Linked DNA regions of Alligator mississippiensis. The protein of the gene in region 2 binds, or shares a complex with, the protein of the main gene of each other region. Links are inferred from orthologs where the notes say so. Each region holds a gene or a part of one and is shown on either strand. Other genes may lie near its edges.

Region 1 (10,397 bases), on a different chromosome or scaffold from region 2:
CCATTTGGCCCAACTGTAGTCAGAGGTGCTTTTTGAGATCTTGAGGCCAGTATGTTACAGAAGATGTGCCAGATTTGACTCCAGGTCTCTCCATCATTTTCCTTATGGCAACTTTAGACCCATAAAACTATTTTTAAACAGTTAATTTGTTTTCTGAAAGGACAATTTGCAAAGCAAATGAATAGAACAAACCCTGGACCATTGACCTATGTTAGGATCATAGGAAAGTAGAACTGGAAGGGACCTCACAAGGTCATCTAGTCCAGCCCCCTGCTCAAGATAGGATCATGCCTGACTATGCCATCCCAGCCATGTGTCTATCCAACCTGCTCTTGAAAATTTCCAGGGATGGAGATTCCACCCAATGCAGTAGTATTTCTCTTTCCCTTCATTTGGTCAGCACAGCCTAAACCAGGGGTGGACAAAGTCCAGCCCACAGGCCGAACCAAGCCTGCAGCAGACTCCATTTCCCAGCAGTCTCTGCCCATGTCACTGCAGCTGGTTTCCATGGAGACTCCAGGAGCAGCAGAGCTGAGACAAGGTGAGGCCAGGGTTTCCATGGAGACCAACCCCAGCAGTGCTGGCTGGGCATGCGGCGGGGCGGGGAGCTGCTCCAGGGCTGGGATCTTGCAATAGTGACAGCGTGGTCCAGAGCTGGGGCAGAGCTGCAATCTGCTGCCAACGTGCCCCAGGCAGGGGTGTGCAGTCAGTGGATCGCAGCTCTGCCCTGGCTCTGGACCACACTGTCACCACTGCAAGATCCCAGCACCGACCCTGGAGCAGCTTCCCGCCCAGCTGCATGCCTGGCCAGCGCTGCTGGGGCTGGTCTCCATAGAAACCCTGGCCCCACACTGTCACAGCTCTGCCACTCCTGGGGTCTCCGTGGAAACCAGCCACAGTGACATGGGCGGGGAGTGCTGAAAAATGGAGTCCGGCTGCTGGCCAGATCCACCATTTTGCCCCCTTCCCCCCCCCCAGATCCCCCCGGCCTAAACTGATGGTTGCAAAAAATGTTTATACCTAAAGAAACCTGAAGAATCAAGTCTTCAGACAAGAACAATTAACCAAAGCTGATTGGCAACAAGGTTGAAATCCTACTTAACTTTTTATGAGAATTGCATAGTGCAAGAGGATGTAAGTTTGTGGCTGGACCTTCTGAAAAGAAATAATGAGGCACCACTTCCAGCTTATCTTACTGTATTTATGATGATTTTAAGAGGCTCCTATTTGTCTGGTATGTAACTGTATGAACTGTCTATCCTTGATTTATTAGAGACATTCTCCATATGGACTTTGATAGGTGCCTCCTCCTGATTTACTCTGGTTTTGCCTCAGTGGTTCCCTTGATCTTCGAAGGGCAACTCCTCCGAAGCTTTGTGTTTTTCTTGGTTGTTAATCAATTTTTGATACGTTCCAACTTAATAGAAATGGATAACCTCCTATTAGCGAGGAAGGTAATTCAATCAAAATTGGGACTTTCTGATAACCAATAATGAACAGTTTGATTAACAGGATTTTCCTGTTCATTACTGCTTGGGATTCTCTCTTGATTTACACAACTACAGGAATGCTTTTGAAGATGCTGAGCTAGAGGATGTGAAAGAGGAATGAAGCAGCTAACAGGAGAAATCATTCTGACAAGAGCTGCTGCTGTGCCCCGCTGATCGCCTGGTGAATGGATCCACACCTTGAGAAGCTGGCAAGGTTGAGACCACCTCTTTGCCTGTAATTAGTGAGAAACTATCACTTTTACAGCTAAATGTACTGGATTTTGCTTTGCTTTAGGCTCATTTAACAGTCAATACCTGTAGTAAATAATGCTTTTCTGTCATCCGTTGAATGAGTTGTCCTTCCAATCCTTTCTTTATACACTAGTCCTGAATCCCATTTCACTTAACAAGCATGAGCTAAACCCATCGATTTCAAATAGGAACTCATAGTGTCAAAAATAATCTGACCTGTTGTAGTCTGAGTTTTGTGCAAAAGAAAAAACGCTCTATTTTTTTACTGCAGTTAAAAAGGAGTGAAAGCAAAGAGCTGGCATTTGCAGAGGGGTTCCTTGAGTCTAAAAAGGTGAGAACCAATGTGCTAAAAAAACCCAAATATTGTGTGTGGGGAGGAGGACAAACGTAAGTGAATCACTGCTTCTGCTACCACAAAAACCTCTACATGTGCTGTTACATATTCCATGTGCTATGCTATGAGGAACACAGATATGTCAGGCTTTGGGCAATACCACTAAGGATTTCCTTAGATTCTACCTGAGTAGAAGTTATTGCTGGACAGTCTCAGCCAACATCTTGGATGTGGATTCATGCTCTAACCTCTCTAACTCCTAATGAGGCTGAGTCAGGGATGGTCAAGATTTCATATAGTACAAGGGACTTGAAGGACTGCAGCAAGAGTTTTGCCTGTGCAATGCAAGTAGGACCACGTATTGTTACATTGTCATTGATGGATGTAGCTGTAATTACTAAATGCAACTGGATTCATTAATCTTTTAACCTCTTAGTATTAACAGATCTCATTATACAAGCTGAGGGGGCTTACTTACCTCCTTTCATATGACATTCCCCATCCTGAACTTGCCATTTACAAAAGTGTAGTCAGGAACTAGTGTGCTATACCTCATGCAAAATAGATGGTACAATAACACCTCTGCCTTTCTAATTGGCATGATGCAAATCAGGGTTCTGAATTGCCTGCAACAAAATATCTAACTAACAATTCCATGGTCTTAGAATCCGACCATGTTGTGTATCTGCCATATTATATCTGTAAGAGCTAGGAAAACAATAAGCAGAGATGTTGAGAAATCCGTTAACAAATCAAGACCGTTAGTTAAATAATTCATTAGTTTAGAACAAGACATCCAACATCAGTGGAGTTTCTCCTGAGCCTGATGAGACATTTCAATTTGAAGTGGAATGGTTCTGAACTTTTTTTCAACACAAAAAGAAAAGCTCCATTCTAATTGCTCAGGAGACTTTGCAATTTTGAACTCGACTGTGAAAAGAAAATCTCCATTCAGGCTGACAAATTTAGCTCATTCAATGTTGAATCATTTATTATGTTTTAAGCTCTGGTTTTAAGATGGGGACAAAAACTAACAAACACCAGGGCTTTAGAAATAGATGGAAATGTGGTTTGATCTCTCTGTGCTGCCTGTTTTTGCGACAATCACAATAAGCCTTGTGACGTCCTGTACTTTCTTTCTTCCTGAAGCAGGTTTTGCTTTGCATTCAATTAAAATGTGCAACAAAAACAATTTCTTTTGAACATCAGAAGAAAAAAACATTCTTTTAAAAGTGGATCCTTTCATTTTAAGCAATAAAGATTACTTAGAGAATACTGTTTCTTACTGCAGAGGCTAGTAAATTTGTTTTTATAGGAGAAAATGATTTTGGAGAGAAAGGTAGAAAATTCTCTTTTGCTATTTCCCAGTTTTAAAACCGGCCAGGGATGTAGCTAACAATTTGAAATGCTGTTGCACAGAAGACAGTAATGACTCATCTCATGCTATACTTATGAGCTCATAAAATCACTAACAGCTTACAGCTATCCAATATCTACTAGCAGTATCTATTAAATTAGATATCCATGACAGTATTGAATACAGTAACAAAAATGCCAGAGCTCAAGGAATCTTGAATCCAATAAATTATAGCTTAATGCAGTATCATATATAGCATACGCTTCCATACAGCTGTGTTTTTTCTAGCATTTCCAACTTTGATCCAATAGCAAGGAGAACAGTGAATACAGTCACTGGAAAGGCAAGTCAATTTATTTTAAGTTTTTGGAAAAAAAACAATTTCTGGTAATTGATATTCACCCAGGAGGATGAAGAAAGGGGCATGGGTGTGTCTGGATACCATGTTCTGTTATAACACATGGTACACATGAACAACCAAGGTGGGTAGTAGCCACCCTGATCATACATTATTGCAATAGGTGGGTGGACTGCTATACAGGGCATAACAACATAATTTTGTCTTCAATACTTGTTCAGTTTAAGAGTGTTTATTACGGCATGAGTCTGGTCCTCTCTCTCTGTCAACACATGCAAACCTTGGCTCCTGAAGATTTCAGCCCCATCTGAAAAGATATTTGAGGTAGGAAACCTATTTGTAGGGGCATCACAGATGTAATATGGAAGGGATTGTGGAAAACAAATGAGACTTCACTGCATGCAGCAGTTATACTGATTCAAGTAAATACTGTTTTGTAATTGCTACTTCCACTCTAGCTGAGAGCATACCAAAGAATAAAAGGCTCCAAACGTCAAATCCTGTTAGTGCTAATTCTTGCCTGCATGTTGTGTAAAGTACTGGTTAAAGCAGTGAAATGTATAAAACACCACCGGGGAAAAAATAATGCTAAATGACAGGTATATTGATTGTAACCAAGACAATAGAAGGGCAATTTGGGGCTTTTTATTAAACAATCAGTCTTCCCACATCGATTTCTGCTTAGCTACTGCTTCAAAACTGACCTTTTACATTGACTTCAGTCTAGAATTCTTCTGTATCTCCAGGTTAGAATTTGGGCCCCATCCCGCAGGCTTTTCCTCGCACAGTGATCTTTATTCATACAAGTCAAGCCAAAGGTGCACTCAAGCCTAATGGCCCATAAAGCTAGTGTGATTCTAGCACTCCCGCTTCTGTAGCCAATACCACACAGGGCACAATGTGGTTGCCATCACATTTGGCCATTTTTGGCTCCCCAGCCTGAATGACCATGTTCCATTTGCAGCTGGGTCAATTGGACTGCAGCTCTAAGCAAATGTCCAGAAGGGGTCTCAAAACGTACGTTTCTTGAACCACAGTGAGATACTTTAATGGCTTTTCCCATCATACCCCTACTGTATTCTTACAGGCCATCCAGTTAAAATTAGGGGGACCATACCCCCAAGGGGAAGACCTCTTATTATGAGGATGGGGGACCGACTGGGAGGCCAAGCCCAGGACTATTGAATTTTATTTCTAGCTCTGCCACTAAATCACTTTGCTACCTTAGGCAAGTCATTAAAACTCTCTGCATCTCCCATTTGCCTGTCTGTAAAATGGGGATAGCAATACCTATTAGCATATTTCATATATGTAACACCCTTTAAGATCCTGAGATGAAGTGAGCTGTATGGTGAAAAATATCATTCATTTGGTTTTATTTTCACAGACAAGGTGAATTTGTTGTAATTAGCTAAGAATAAAAGACTGCATAGTCTGAAGTGTAGTGGCTTGTAATGTGTTCTGTTTCACCCACCCAGGGTTGGTTTTAACACAGAGTAGAATCTTGCTCATGCTGAAATCAATAGCAAAGCTCCCTTTGACTTCACCCCAACTGTGTAAGGAAGGGGAAGAGGGACATGTGGTTAGAGAAAGAATCCCCCTTAATTTTTAACTGTAAAATACTGGAGTTAAAAGCAAATGGACAGTCACTTCACAGAAAAGACACCTGTATAGCAGCTGCTTTAGTGAGGCGGTGTTCCAGGCAAGTTGTGTACTGGGATGAACTTTGCCTTTTTATTTCAATCCGGAAGCTGACATCTTGGCTTGTAATTATTAACTAACTATCCTGATAGCGAAAGTGTGGCTGCATGCACCTGCTAGAACTCGGAGTGAAACAGTGCCCCAGGACGCTGCTGTGGGATCTACTGAAAATGTCGACCAGGTATCACAAAGCAGCTGCTGACGGCAATCTGGACCTTTTGAAAGAAGCGACCAAAAAAGATCTCAATACTTCAGAAGAAGATGGGATGACACCCACCCTTTTGGCAGCTTATCACGGGCTTCTAGAAGCTCTGGAAGTCATATGCAGCAGAGGGTAAGTATAACAGGCCTCAACCTCTCAAAGCCGATGAAACAAAATTACAATTATCATGCAGCACCTTTTAATGCAAATACTGGTGCAAATGGGCAGTTTCTTGCTTTCTAAATTACTTGTTTTCTTGTGGGGGCTTTCAATCTTTATCATGTGTAGCTGCTTCATTTTTTTTCTATTGGTTGAGCCCAGTGGTATTCAACCGGCAGGCTGGATCGGGCAGAGAGAGTGAATCAGTCCTGTGCCACTCATCAGGTCCGCAGAGCCAGATGGATGGGGTGCTACTGGTTTAGGCCATAATCAAACAAGCTGCTCTGTACAAATCAGGCCCCGGTGCACTAGCATAGACTTACAGGCTTCTATGGCGTCTGAGCAATGTATAGTTTTAGAAACTAGGATGCAGGACTGCTGCTAGCGAGAGCTACAGGAGCTGCCATTTACTTCAACGGAAGTTGGAATACACCCTTAACTTTATAGTTTTGTAAATTAAAGTACATTTAATTAAAGTGTATTTAATAGCCTCCAGATAATTTTCAGAAGGAAACCAGAAAGAGCTGAATCTAAAAATGTGATTTTTCTGCTCTTGATAGCATTAGAAACTGAAGTTATGCCTGAAAAACAAATCTGTGCTTCTGCTGGAGCTGGTAAAATTTCAGGAAAAAAATGCAAAGGAATTAAATATAGACTAAAGGAGGTTTCTCTGATGTAGTTTTTCCTCACATTAATTATTAAATGCACCAGCACTATAGATAAATTATAAAAAGGTCATTCCCCTACTCTGGATTGCCCACTGTTTCCTCCAAGTCTTCTCTTTAGGCTGTCATCCTAGGGGTCTATTTCTTAGTGGAGTCTTCCACTGGGGAAAGAAGGGGACTAGAGCATTTTCACTTGGGGAAACCATCAAAGAGCAGAGGGCAGAAAACTAAGGAAAGATAAATACTTCTTTAGTTGTGTTTTGCCCTTCTGCAAAAATAGAAAAAAAGTTCCCTGTACATGGTAAGTGTAATAGGTAGATGCCCCTCTTAGCTTCTTGATCTAAGGTGTGGCTATAGAAACACCTGACTGCCAATAAAAGAGACCTTTAGACTATATAGCTATTGCTATAACCTTAGGAAAAGCAAAAAACAGAAGCCAGATTCTAAATTGGTACAAAACAATATGTAATTCCAGTGATGTTGCTGAAGACATTGGAGATCTGGCTTATAATTTAGGAAAAGATAAAAAGGGAAAATTAACTAGTTAAGAAAAATAAATAGAGCAAGATAACGTGTTCCCAGGTTCCACGGTCTTATATACACCAGTGCCAATCACAAAATAGGGCACAGAGCACAAGGATTTCCACAGAGCTGTATTCTCTATTCATTAGTTACACTAGTTTATTTAAAATTGGTATCAGCTTGGTACAGGACAGCATCCAAAAGCTTCAAACCTTTATTACTGATGATTTCCTGAAAGCTTTCATTTTAACCTGAGACTCCTTAACTTTGAGAGTCAGAGAAACTGGTCTAAATCTCAGCAATGTTTGTTTGGGTCTTTGGAAGAAGCTGCATTTTGGAAGATTTTCAAACAATGCCCCTGGCTGATGGGGCTTTCAAGAAAAAAAATTGACTTATTATTTCTAATACGTGCCTCTTTTCCTTAAAGCAAAAGGAAGGAACACCCAGTAAGGGAATGACATGGGACCCGGGAAAACTGGGTTCAGGTCTGTGCTCCACCCCAGAACTCCTGTGTAACCACAGGCAAGGCACATTAGCTGCACAAAAGTCCTTGGGTATGCAAGTGTGATTAGCATAAGGGATTTCTAAGACCATTCAGCTGCCCCATTACCATGGACACACCTAAACTTCTTACTTATGTATGTATGAATACATTTGATTTATATACTGCCCTTCCAAAAAAGCTAAGCTCAGGACCACTTTCAATCCAAAACAAAACGACACATAAAAACAGAACAAAGTATTACGTTGGTCAGTGTGACAAACTAAGCCTTCCCCAATCCTCCCACTCCCTGCCTCGCATCCAGGAGTCCCCTCCCCCTTCCCATAACGTCCCTCTGAAGCTCATCCCTCTCTCACCTGGCGGGGTTGTTCCCCAAACCCGCTCATTCTCCCCTTCCTCCCAAAGAAGCACATTATTCAGTTTATAACCAGAAATACAATGCCTGCCCCTGCCCCATCCCTGCTGAAATGTGATACCAAAGGGGACCACTGAGTGTTGCCCTTTGGTAGCACCTACCCAAAGGCACCCTGCAGTCCCCTTAAAGCCCACTAGCTGGCTGGGCTCTTCCCCTTTCCAGCTCAGGCATCTGCAGAGTCAGTGTCTGCTCCAAGTCTCAGTCCTCCCCTACTCTGGACTTGGCTTCCAGAGCAGGTGGCAGAGAGATCAGCATCCCCTGAACTGTGGGTTGCGGCAGTCCATAGGAAGCCTGGGAGGCCAGCAGAAAGAGTAGTCTTTAGCCAAGGGCAGCATGCAGTCCCTATGAATCTCTGCTTTTCAAATCCCAGGAGTATTTTGGGGGAAGGGTTAGGAATAGCAGTTTAAGCAGCAGCTGAAGAAAAACTATGGCTTCTGCCTGAACATTACCTAATTATAGTAGACATGGAGACTTAGGCCTTTTTTCTTAATAATTTACTTATTACCCATTGTGAAAGTTGCTGTTATTACCACACAAACTATGTCCTGAGGCAGTCAAATGCAGAGGTTTCCCACTGTTCCTGCATTTTACATCAAAGAAAGAAAGGCTGATCTCAGTAGCTTTTAAAATACCGTGGGTGAAATCCCAGTCCCGCTGAAAGCAGTAGAAGTTTTGTCATTGATGTCATGAACTATAATCTAGAGTCTGATCCTGCTTCTCTTGAAGTCGATTGTAAAATTCTCTGCATTGCCCAGCTGAGGCACCCCACCAGGCTTTCAAGGTGAGGGAGGCAGGCAGGGGGAAGGGAGGGAGTAATCAATTGATGGCCTGTATCAGGAGAAAATAATTACCCCTGTTATGGCTGTCATAAATTCAACCTGCTAGAAGGGGCAGTATGCACTCATCCATTCCTTGCCCTCCACTTGGGGTAGGTGAATGAAGCAGCACAGTCCCTGAACCCAAGACCCAAAAAGCTCAAAGGATAAAGGATATTTGTTCTTGTTCTTCTGTGTGGTTGGAATGCGACTTTGGCTGCAGGCCCAAAGCGCTAGCTCAGTTTCATACAGAATTGGTGATGGGACTTGAACTAGAGCCAGATTCAGCCCTGATGTAAGTAGGTAAAAGTATATTACAGGCCATAACCCTCTGTCCACATTTCTTCACTGGAACAGCATCCGCTTATCCCAGATTTGAACTTGGCCCTCAATGCATCACTGTGGCAGGCACTTATGTTTGAGATGTATTTGATGGACCTGACTCTGATGTTTTGCTCCTTAGTGGCGACCCAGACAAATGTGACATCTGGGGAAACACTCCGCTCCATCATGCTGCTTCCAATGGTCATATCCACTGTCTCTCATTCTTGATTAAGTTTGGTGCCAATATATTTGCTCTGGATAATGATATGCGCACTCCGCTGGATGCAGCTGCCAGCAGGGACCAGCATGAATGTGTCAGACTCCTGGACAAAGCTGCTACTGAACAGACCATAATGAATGCCAAGAGGGTCTCCAAACTCAAGGCCCAGGCTCAGAAGAATGCAGAGAAACAAATCAAGGAATGTGAAAAGCGCCAAGAGAAGCACCAACATGAAATGATGAGGAATTATAACAAAGAAAAGCTTGGATCAGTAAGTTCTGCCAAAGGGACAGCTTCCAGGATGAAGGTGCCCGATTTCTTTGTTCCCAATACATCAGGCACCTTCTCCAAAAGCCTGAAGGACACCTTCAGACTGAAGGCAAAAAAGAAAGATGAAAACATAGCTGATAAGGATGCACAAAAGAGTAGCCAAGAGGAGGAAGGCAAGGTTGCGCGTATGGGTGTAATGGATGTATTCAATGAAAAAGATGAGGATGAATTCTTAAATTACTCTAAAGGGAGAAACATTTCTGAAGAGGATAGCCAGCAGGAGCATATGTCAATTTTCCAACGGCCAGGTCTGGGCAAAATTGTGTTTGGAAGGAATTTGGCAGCAGACATAAATGCCAAAGAGATGTCCTTTGAGAAAGAAGGAATACGATTTAAAATATCTGGTGAGTTTTTTCAACAGAGGGAGTCTGAAAATGGAAGTGAGCTAGCCACTGAAAATGATCTTGATGTCCCTTGGAATGAGGAAGAAATTGGTTGGGAAGATGATGAAGCAGAGAGCACTCCTCTTGATGTATTTTTGGCCTCTCAAAATCTGAATGAGTTTGTTCCTGTCTTCCTCAGAGAACAGATTGATTTAGATGCCCTCATGCTATGTTCTGATGAAGATCTACAGAGCATACAAATGCAGCTGGGCCCAAGGAAGAGAGTCCTCAATGCTGTAGATAGAAGGAAACAGGCACTGCAGAATCCTGGAAAAATAGGAGATACTCGCTTATAAACAAACATGCCAGCTACTATAATTGTGCATTGATTATATTTCACTGTTTCAAAGCCTAGTACAGGTTTTTTT
Region 2 (10,232 bases):
ATTGAACAGTGAGGGCCCAAGGACCGAGCCCTGGGGGACTCCACTGCCCACTTCCCCCCAGGTCGAATATGACCCGTCCACCACCACTCTCTGAGTATGACCCTTCAGCCAATTCACAATCCATCTGACTGTGTAGGCATCGATGCCAGTCGCCTAGTTTTTTAATGATGATGGGGTGGTTGACAGTGTCAAAGGCCTTGCTGAAGCCCAGAAAGACTACATCCACTGCGACACCTGTATCCAATGCTTTTGTGACCTGATCTTAAAAGGCAATCAGGTTGGTCTGACGTTGTAGGGTCTGACATTGTAGTCTAAGTGCACCAACTGGCACGAATCATTCGAAAACAAATTCAGAAGGAGAAAATTCATAAGCAACTTTTACTTCCCTATCCACATTAAAAAAAACTCTAATGTGCCTGGCAGAAAATCTAACACTCGGAGTTGGTGGCCCCAACTGCCTTGAGTACAATAGCCAGGACAAAAGAGTAAGTGGTAGCAATGGAAAAGGTTTTCCTAGCTACCAAGGAGGGTAGGTGTTGCAAAAATAAATAAATAAATAAAATCAAATCTGGTCACGTCAAGTTGATGTGGGGGCTGAGGGGGATCCAGGAAAGGGTCGGCTGGGTTGTGGCCACAAACCCAGCACGTACAGATGGGTACTTTCGACCGCTGGAGTAGAATTAGGCACAAACGCGTACTGGTTCAAACAAAGATGGCTTTACTTACACTGTCGAGATGTACAGCGTAGGAAGAAAGTTAACTTCAAACTTCAGTTTCAGTTTAACCGAGGAGCTCTGATAAGACGAGATATCTTTAATACGAGCATTCAGGACATGGGGGTACGTCGGGGTCGGTCGGCGATGGGGAGTCGGCGGCAGTTGATCAGTCTGCCATGTTCACTCCGAGATGGGCGCGGAGTTCTCCAACTTGGGCGGAAACCGCTCCAACCTTTTATACGGCTAGCGAGCCAATTGCTAGTCGCCACATAGGAATAATTTAGAACCGGCCAAGTGAATTTGCATATGAGTGGCGAGAACCTTTCCACGCCGGGGCTCTCCACTGTGCCGAGAAATTCCCTCGTACAAAATCTCACCGTGCCTTGTGCTAGAAAGTTCCACTGTGCTGAGGCACTCAACCACTAGGCTCTGACAGTTGACTGAATTCCCAGAAACCTTTTCGAGACAATTCAGTTAAGAGCTGGCAATAATTGTGGCCTAAAGTTAACCCCAGTAAAATGAATGTCAAGGAACATCCAGAACAATGGAACAATGGAACCAGAAATTAAAACAACGTTGTGATCATTGCAACTAATTAGTGTGGGAACAGGAAAATATTCCAGGTGCGTTAAGGCTATGCTATTATAAAGCTTCCAAAATATTATATAATCAAGCTTGGCTAGCCTTAGTAATGGTGACATCACTAAAGGTTTAAATAGTAGGGCTGTGAGAAGCTTCAGTCACCAATTTGATTCACCGGAGATTCAGCCCAATTTGGTGGCCAAATCTCCAAATACAAATCAAATCAGGAGACCCTTTAATCTCTCCGAATTGAATCAGAACCCTCCAAAATTGATTCAGAGAGATTCAATGATTCAGACATAGACACAGCTTTAAATGTTTTTTCTACATATCTCAAGGTACCAGGCAATTTGTGAATGCTGGGAAGGATGGAGCGCCCCATAGGAGTGCAGGGGAGTCTGCAGCATGCTCAGTGGTGCACCTGGAAGTGGACCAGAAGTGCTTCCGGTCCACTTCCAGGTCCGCCGTGGAGCGTGCAGGGGACCCCCTGCTCTGCCCCTTAGCTTGGCGACTGGTGCCTCCTGGGTCTGGTGGGGGCACCTGTGCACTTGACAGCAGACCTGGAAGTGGACCAGAAGTACTTCTGGTCCACTTCCAGGTCCGCTGCCAAGCACCTGGGGGGGCCCTCTCCATGTTCCTGTAGGATGCTCCATCCACCCCATGCTCCATCCACTCCACCATCCACGAGCCGCACCTGGTACCTCGAGGTATGTAGGAAAAAAACCCAACATATAAAGCTGTGTCCATGGCCGAATTGCTGATTCTCTGAATCAGCATCGAATCTTCATATTTGGATTCAGACGAATTGAATTGAGACAGTGATGCAAATCAATGAATTGATCACTGTCCCCCGATTCAGGCCGAATCCAAATCAAATACAACCCATTTTGCACACCCCTATTAAATAGCCTAAGCAAGTAAAATCACCATTCGCTGTTTGAATCACCTTCATGGATTTTTGAGGGAGGGACCGGCATGGATTTCTAAAGGAAGACCAAGCCTTCAGGTTTGGAAGATCGCAACCCAGGAAGCTCACCCAGTACGACTGACAGAGGGGAATGCCTCCTGAGTAACAGCTCTAAACAGACTGTGATGCGGTAAGGAGCCACGTTAACACACTCGGTTTTTGACAACTGCCTGTTTATATTTTGGCAATCCCAGTAAAGTTGACTACTTGTATACTGGCAACCCCAGTTGTTTAGTTGCTTTGTGTTTAATGGATAATTTTGTAATCAGTAAAGCTTCTAACTAATTATCAAACAAGTGCTGATAGTTAATCACATTGTTCTCCTTGTCCACAAAAGAGTAGGGCTCAAATTTCAGCCCAACACCCTGCCACCCCAGCGTTGCCAGTGCCCTTCGCTCCTGACCTGCAGCCCCGTGACCCCCCAACACTGGGATGGGGCTGCCACCTCGTGCCAGTTCAAAGCACCCTCTGGTGCACAAAGGGGTGAACTACAAAAAAGCTGCAGCGCCATCGGTGGACAATGAAGGTCATCTTTGAGTGCTTTTGTGTTTGCACGCAATGAATCCATAGCTACGGCGATGTAATCGGTGGTGACACAAACTAAACTATGTCCCAGGAGTTTTATTTTAATGCGCTGAAAAGACTTTTAAAAACTGCAGGAAATCCCATTCGTGCAAGCAAAACCAGTTGCAGTGTCCTAAAGGGCAAATCTCGTGGCGTGTACATGTAGTCCAAGAAGCTAACTCTGAAAGTGGTATCTGGCTTGCTCCACTGCTAAATTAAATCATACAAAGAAGCCAAGCTGCTGTGTGACCTTATCACCCGAGCAATCAATACTTTCAAATATCTTTTGTCAATATGTCACACAAAGAAACATCAAAAGGAGTCAGAGCTTACTGACACTCACACATCCTGAAAGAGGGAAATGGGGTATAATATAAGCTTTGCAAACCTTCAAGGCTGAGGCACTAGAGTGCTGCTGCAACTTTTCTCTTAGGAAAGACTTCCCATGATCAAATGAAACTTTGATGTCAAGTAGGGAAAAGAAAGAATCATTTCCAGGATCCCTTTTGCAGGATGGAGGACCTATGGATTTTGTCTGAAATCCAGGCCTCAAGGTGCTTGCTGCTGTATGTGCAGAGACACATGCACAGATGTGTGTGTGCACACATACACGCACGGAATAAGGAACAGTCTCTATACCTAAGAGCTTATAATTTAAATAAACCTGACAAACAAAATACAACATCCCCATTTCACAGGTAGAAGAACTGAGGCACAGAGTGACTTAATTAAAAGGACACACCAAGAATCTGTGAGAGCCAGAAACAGAACTCAGATTTCCTAAGTCCCAGTAAAAACACACAGACCCAACCTTCTTCATTTTTCTGTTCTAGCTCCCCAAAATGGCTCTTTAGCAAGGCGTGTTCATCAACAGACTATATACACTCTTCTGCTACAGTCCCCAGATTTTCATCTTCTTCCCCAATGACCCTTTTAATAAGATGTTTAGCACCTATTCCTCCACTGTACCTTTCTAGTTAAATAGTATCTCAGTAAAACCACCCCTAGTTCAGTTCTGACATGGCTTATGATCATACGGAATACACATCAACTCCTAACTTCTTCATGCTCCAGTAGCTTGAAAGAGAGACAAAAGGAAAACCTCCTTGCAACAGAATTATAATACTTTGACTTTTGCACTGTTTGTTATCTGTGAATAGCAGAACACTTTGCACCCATGGTGCCCTCTGTCTTTACAAATGACAAGAAATGTTAGCTGCCCGGCTAGAAGTTCCTCAAAGGACTCCAATCTTCACAAAGTGCTGATCCCTTTGGAAAATATATATCTATATATATCTAGCTATATCTATATAGCTATATATCTAGCTATATAGATATAGATATATCAGGCTGTCATAGGGGTTGGATGGCCAAAAATCTGTGTACCAAACACCAGTAGTCATGTTTTTAAAGCATAGGCTTCCTAATATCCCTCTGAAAAAGAAACATTTTATAGAAGAAAAAAGTAAGGCACAGATGACTTGCACAAGGGCACAGGAGACATCAGTGGTAGGGACAGCAAGAGTATGCAGGCATGCTAATGCCTAGCCTGAGCAGAAAGCAGGAGTTCTACCCCCTGGTCCCAGACCATTCTACCTTCTCCTTCTATTGCAGTTGTTACGCTTTACCTTTAGCTTCCAGTGAGCAATGCAATATATAGTCTGATTAGGAGCAGGGAAAGAGCAAAGCCAACAGGGAGAACAGGGCTTGCGCCAGAACAGAGCTGACCAAACACAGCTGGCATAGAATAATGCATGGGGAGAAGCAAGCTAAGGTTGGCCTGAATCACTATTAAGTCTACCAAGAAATATTCTCATCAAGAACAGGTACGTACGAGGTGCAAAGTTAACCCACATCATTAGCTTGGTATATATCGTAGCACACACACTTGGTAATTATACGGTGCCCATGACTGGAGAGGTCAGGACAAGCAGACAGCTTTTTAGGGGTCAACAAGCACCCTGCTTCCACACTTATTCGGGGACATTCTGCATCTAATCTTAAAAGATGTGGAATTTCTCACAGTCCCTGCAAGAGTTAAGAATCAGAGGACAAAGAGCCACAGAAGAGCTGCGGCGTTTACTGCTCATCACACCCAGTACCCAGGTACCGGTAAATGAATCATAAATGATTCATCCAATAGGGCAAGGAGGCAAAGGTTGAGCGGCAACAGTTGGGAATTAGTGCCAGCCATGCAATGTTCTTCACCACCATTCGGAGGAGTAAATGGATGACAAAGTACTGCTGACTCCAAGGGAGGAAAGAGGCAGGAGTGCTCCACCCACAGCCAGGGTTTCCCTTTGCTTTCTGCCGTCTGCGCCATGGCTGTTTCTCATCGGCTCTCTGCCTACGTACTCTTTCTGCTGCTACCCCTAATACAGAGCCAAGGTAAGTCAATGCCTTTGGAGTCCGGATGGATGAAAGTGAAAAATCTCCTTGGTTGCCTACCTCAGGATGTTGAATGCCTTCTTCCAAGGCATCAGCCACAGCTGGAGACTAGCTGCTGGAGTAAATGCACCTTAGATCTGATCCAGTTTGGCAATTCCTGTGTCTGACGGAAATATTGTGCCTTTTTTTCAGGATGCTCTGTAAATAATGCCAAGCCATTGGTACGAGAAAATAACTCTGCTGGCTTAGTGGTGACCAACATTACAAAGGCTGCTGGTATCACAGTAACAATCAGTCCCACAGCGGATGGAAATTGCTTCTCCATTCGTGACACAGAACTGATTCTAAGCTGTTCCTTGGACTATGAGGTAAGTTATTAAATGAAAAAAGGCAAATATCAGCTAATTTAACATTGCAAAACACTTTCTATAATGTACTTTTTACTGTGACAGTCCAATGGCTCTGTCAGTCGTAGCAAGTGAAGCTTTTTAAAATGGCGCCTACCTTTTCAGTTTCTCTGAGCTTTAATAGCCTAAGCAGGGAACCTGCATGTACAAGTCTGGCCCAACTACTGTCTTGTTAGAAATCCACTCCAGGAAGGGCATAAGGCATGTTGCTTAATGGAGCAAGATATGGGTTCTTAAGTGGAAATCTGTCGAGTCAGTGGAGTTCTGAACCCAAGCAGCTGGTCCATGTGCACGTCTGGTCTGTGTGCATTTGTCAAATAAAGCTAGCATGTAAAAAAAAAAAAATCCTGTTCCCTTCCACGGCCTTTCCATTTTGAAATGTAAATGTTCAATCTTGTTAACTATTTCCCAGCTAATTAGTTTACGATCCATCCACTGGGATCATGCCAAGCTCTCCTCCTCAGGAGTCAAGGGTCAGTTTCCTACCCAGCTATAACTCCCCCGTCCTGTACAAGCTTTACCTTGCTCCCAGCAACAGCTTTTCCAACATAGCCATGTTTTTTCAGATGTAAAATTAAACTCTGCGGCATGTTGCACAATAATAAATTGAATCTAAAAATAAACACCTGGGGCCCCCCGTCTGTATTTGCTGTATGATTCATTGTCATCCCATTCAATTAAAATCTCCATTTTAGCTTGCCTGAATCTACTTCAGATCTCCCTGTAGACAAAATTCCACATTACAGCCAGGGGGGCATCAGTTGTACGGGGGAGTTAGACAAGCAATTGGTCCTCATAATGGATGTAATTGCAGCAATTGGTATCTGTTAAACAGAAAACCTGCAAAGCTTCTAAGACCGCTCGCTCTCTCTCTCTCTCACACACATCCACCATAGAGAGCTCCTCAGTTCACTCTCATATGTAAGGATGGTCTCTGATCTGTTTTATACCTCTGTAAAGGTGAAACAATTTTTTGGAAAACGGTGGAATTATTTCAAGTTGGTAGTCATGGTACTGAGATCAGAAACTAATTGGAAACCTGTAAAAGGAAAGGAAAAATCCCTATCATTTTTAATTTAACAAAAGGATCCTGGAGGCCCTAACTGATCAAAGCACGTATTCTCTTATTTTACTTGAAGCATAGGCTTTCTTTAAGTACATTAGAGGAAGAAAGTCTGCCAGAGACTTAGTTGGGCTACTGGATAATGAGGGTGTAAAAGAAATGCTTAAAGAGGACAAGGCTATTGTTGAGAAATGGAAGTTATGCACAGATGTAGCATTTGTCACGGGAGAAAGTCTTTTGTTCTGGGACTGTACAGAAGTACATGTCTGCTGTCCTGCTTCAGGTCCCTCTGCAGTAGGCAGATAAAATGTACTAACACTTTTTTCCCCAGGATACCCTATTGTACATCTGTACGATTATGACAGTTCATTCCAGTCTCTTGGGCTGTGTGCTCTTGCTGGCCACCTACTACTGAAAAGGCAGCAATGCATCTTGGAAAGGCTACATGTGTATATGACTGTGCAGCTCCTGTTTTGATTCAAGTCATACCTCTGGGTAATCAGTCCTGAGTCAGAACAACACATCTGTATACAGCCTAAATGAGTTCCTTGTATCAGCCTTACTGGGGAAGATGGTGGGTAGATTCTCTCACCAGAGCCCAGGGGACAGGTCAGTAGAACTGATTCACATTGAGGTATCAGTAGATGACATTTTAGAAGATATTAATAAACTAAACAGGAAGAAATCACCAGGACCTGATGGTATTTACCTTAGAGTCTTGAAGGAGCTCAAATCTGAAATAGCTGATCTACTTGCTAAATATACAATCTGCCACTAAAAACAGCTTTGGTACCAGAGAACAGGAGAGTTGCCAATGTAATTTCAATTTTTAAAAAGGCTCCAGAAGGACTTGGGGAAATACATCTAGCTTGTGTTCCTGGCAAAATGGTAGAAGCAATAATTAAACAAGTATTGTTCAGCATATGGACAAGCAGGCCTTGCCAGGGAGAAATCAGCCTGGTTCTGTAAAGGGAGGTTATATCTTACCAACCTGCTAGAGTTCTCCAAGTGTTTCAACAAGAATGTGGATCAGGGAAATCCAGTAGTCCAGTTGATATAGTATATCTGAACTTCCAAAAAACCTTCAACCAAGTCCTACATCAAAGGCTCTTAAAAGTAGGTTGACATATGATTAGAGGGAATGTCCATTTGTGGATCTGAAATTGGCTTAATGATAAAAAAACAGAAAGTAGGGATAAACAGTCAATTTTCAGAATTAAAAGAAGTAAACAATGGGGCCCTGCAGGGATCTGTGTTGGGACAAGTGCTGTTTAAAATATTTGTAAGTGACCTGGAAAAGGGGATCAGTAGTAAAATGGCCAAGTTTGCCAATGACATAAGATTATTCAGAATGGTAAAGGCCAAAGTGGACTGTGAAGAACTACAGAAATTTGTCATAAAATTGAGCAAATGGGCAACAAAAGGGCAAATGAAGTTCAATGTTGATAAGCACGAAGTGATGCACATGGGATAAAATAACCCAAAATATACATGCATCATGATGGGCTCTACATTAATTGTTACCACACAGGAATGAGATCTTGGTGTCACTGAAATTCTAGCATTGCTAAAAGCACTAGCTCAATGTCCAGCAGCTGTCAAAAAGAAAAAATGAAATGTTCAGAGTTATTAAAAAGAGAATTGTAAACAAACTAAAAAGTATTATTATGCCCCTTAATAAATCTATGGTGTATCCTCACCTTGAATAATACGCACAGTTTTGGTTTGCACACCTCACAAGGGATATAGAAGAATGAGAAAAGCTACAAAGAAGGGCAACAAGGATGATCTGAGAAAGGGCTTTCAAATGAGGACAGACTAAATAGGCTGGGACTTCCCAGCTTGGAAAAGAGATGCTTGAGGGAAGACATGACAGAGGTTTACAAAATATTAAATGGTGCAGAGAAAGAAAATAGTAGAGGCGTAGTGAGCTCCTTCAGCACCTAGGGCAGGAGGAAGGGATTATTCAGATCAGTTGCAGACCAGCTACAGCAGTGGACTCCCTAGGAGTCACTCCTAGTTTCCTGTTTACTCCTCCTCCCTGCCCAGATATACTACAGGGGGCAGGGCTGCACCTGCCATGGCAAAGACTCCCTAGGGTGTAAGGGGGAGCACCACTTCATTAACTTCTTACCCTCCAAAATACGGTACTGGGTGAGGGGCTGTCCCTGCTGGGCTCCTGTGGGGGCTATCCCTGCTCTGGCAAAAATTCCTGGGGTGCAAGGCAAATCTGGCACCCTATCTAAGATAGCCCCTGGGACTGGTGCCCTAGGCATCTGCCCGAAGTTACAATACCGGTAAATAGGGATTTGTTATTTATTACCATTCACAATGCTAAAACTAGGGAACATAATAGGAAATTATTAGATAATAGATTTAAAGCTAACAAAAAGAAGCTCTTTTGCAGAGAGCATATCATTAACTTGTGGAACTGGTTGCCACAGGATGATGTGACAGCTGGTACCTTAACCCAGTTCAGAAGAGGATTGGACCAATTCTTGGAGGAAGTATCCATGCATAGGTATTGAGCATGGTAGACAGCCATGCAGCCTCTGAATAAGCGCTCCCTAAGCCTCTCAGAATGCCGGAAGCTGCAGTGGGAGAGCGGCAGGGAGGGGAAACTTCTCAACTTGCCCTGTTCTGCCACAGTGTGACAGGATACTTGGCTATGCCAGTAAATGGCACTTATGTGCTTTTTAATGTTTTTCAACTGACTGTTTTGCTTTGTTGTGATTTTTTTTGTTAACACAGAAACAAGATATATACATTTTAACCCTGCTTTGCACTCAAGGGAATGTACAAGTAAGTATCATTTCTAAAAATTCTGCTATATTAGTTATTATTAGATAGTAGTAAGCAACACTGAATGCTGGCATTAAGTTTCTTCTTAATTGACAATCCTTCACAAGGGTTGTGGGTTTCTCATGCTTAAAGCATTTACTTGTCATGGAAAAAGGAAAATCCCAGACCATCCACAAGATTTCAGAGCCATCGTCCAAATCCAAACCCACTCCATGATTTAGTCTAAAATTCTAGCATCCAGCTAGTTCATCCTCAAGCCATGTCCTCAGCTTATGTCAGCCAGTTTGTACCAACCCATAATGATCTTATTATGATACTTTCTTTCCCTGCTCTCTCCAAGGTTGATTCTCTGGAGGTTATAGTGACCGTTGTCAACTTGAATGATAACAGCCCAGTATTTAAGCAACCAAATTTCACTGTAAATGTTCCCGAGGTAAGAATTTTACTGAAGCCTTTGTGCATAAAGGGGAGATTCTGAATCAAAGGCCTTGCACTCTGATCTTGGCAAAAGGAAAGATTTACAACCATGTTTTCTAGAGACGAATTCTAAAAAAAATGGAAGAAAACACATTGCACAAAACTTGATCTTTTCCTACAGACTTTTACAGGTGGTGCAGACAATCCTTCCCTTGATACTTCAGGAGAGACTGGCTGATTGATACGGCCTCTGTGGTCACAGACATTTGAGACTTGACATTCAGAGGCAATGAGTTCTTTGCGGCTTTTACTGATGACTTCAGCTG

The links.
Region 1: CDHR5 (region 2) and ANKS4B share a complex: the UniProt entries of both Homo sapiens proteins name them as parts of the IMAC/intermicrovillar adhesion complex. The link is inferred for Alligator mississippiensis from reciprocal best matches to the Homo sapiens genes CDHR5 and ANKS4B.

Annotation. Positions count from the first base shown.
Region 1 is NC_081836.1:46,289,666-46,300,062, forward strand, and holds the start of ANKS4B (ankyrin repeat and SAM domain-containing protein 4B), read left to right. Parts: upstream 1-5,574; 5' UTR 5,575-5,599; coding exon 5,600-5,826; intron 5,827-9,235; coding exon 9,236-10,325; 3' UTR 10,326-10,397. UniProt on the Homo sapiens protein: As part of the intermicrovillar adhesion complex/IMAC plays a role in epithelial brush border differentiation, controlling microvilli organization and length. Plays a role in assembly of the complex.
Region 2 is NC_081825.1:183,255,647-183,265,878, reverse strand, and holds the start of CDHR5 (cadherin-related family member 5), read left to right. Parts: upstream 1-5,028; 5' UTR 5,029-5,150; coding exon 5,151-5,217; intron 5,218-5,409; coding exon 5,410-5,585; intron 5,586-5,721; exon of another isoform or gene 5,722-5,941; intron 5,942-9,438; coding exon 9,439-9,489; intron 9,490-9,829; coding exon 9,830-9,922; intron 9,923-10,232. UniProt on the Homo sapiens protein: Intermicrovillar adhesion molecule that forms, via its extracellular domain, calcium-dependent heterophilic complexes with CDHR2 on adjacent microvilli. Thereby, controls the packing of microvilli at the apical membrane of epithelial cells.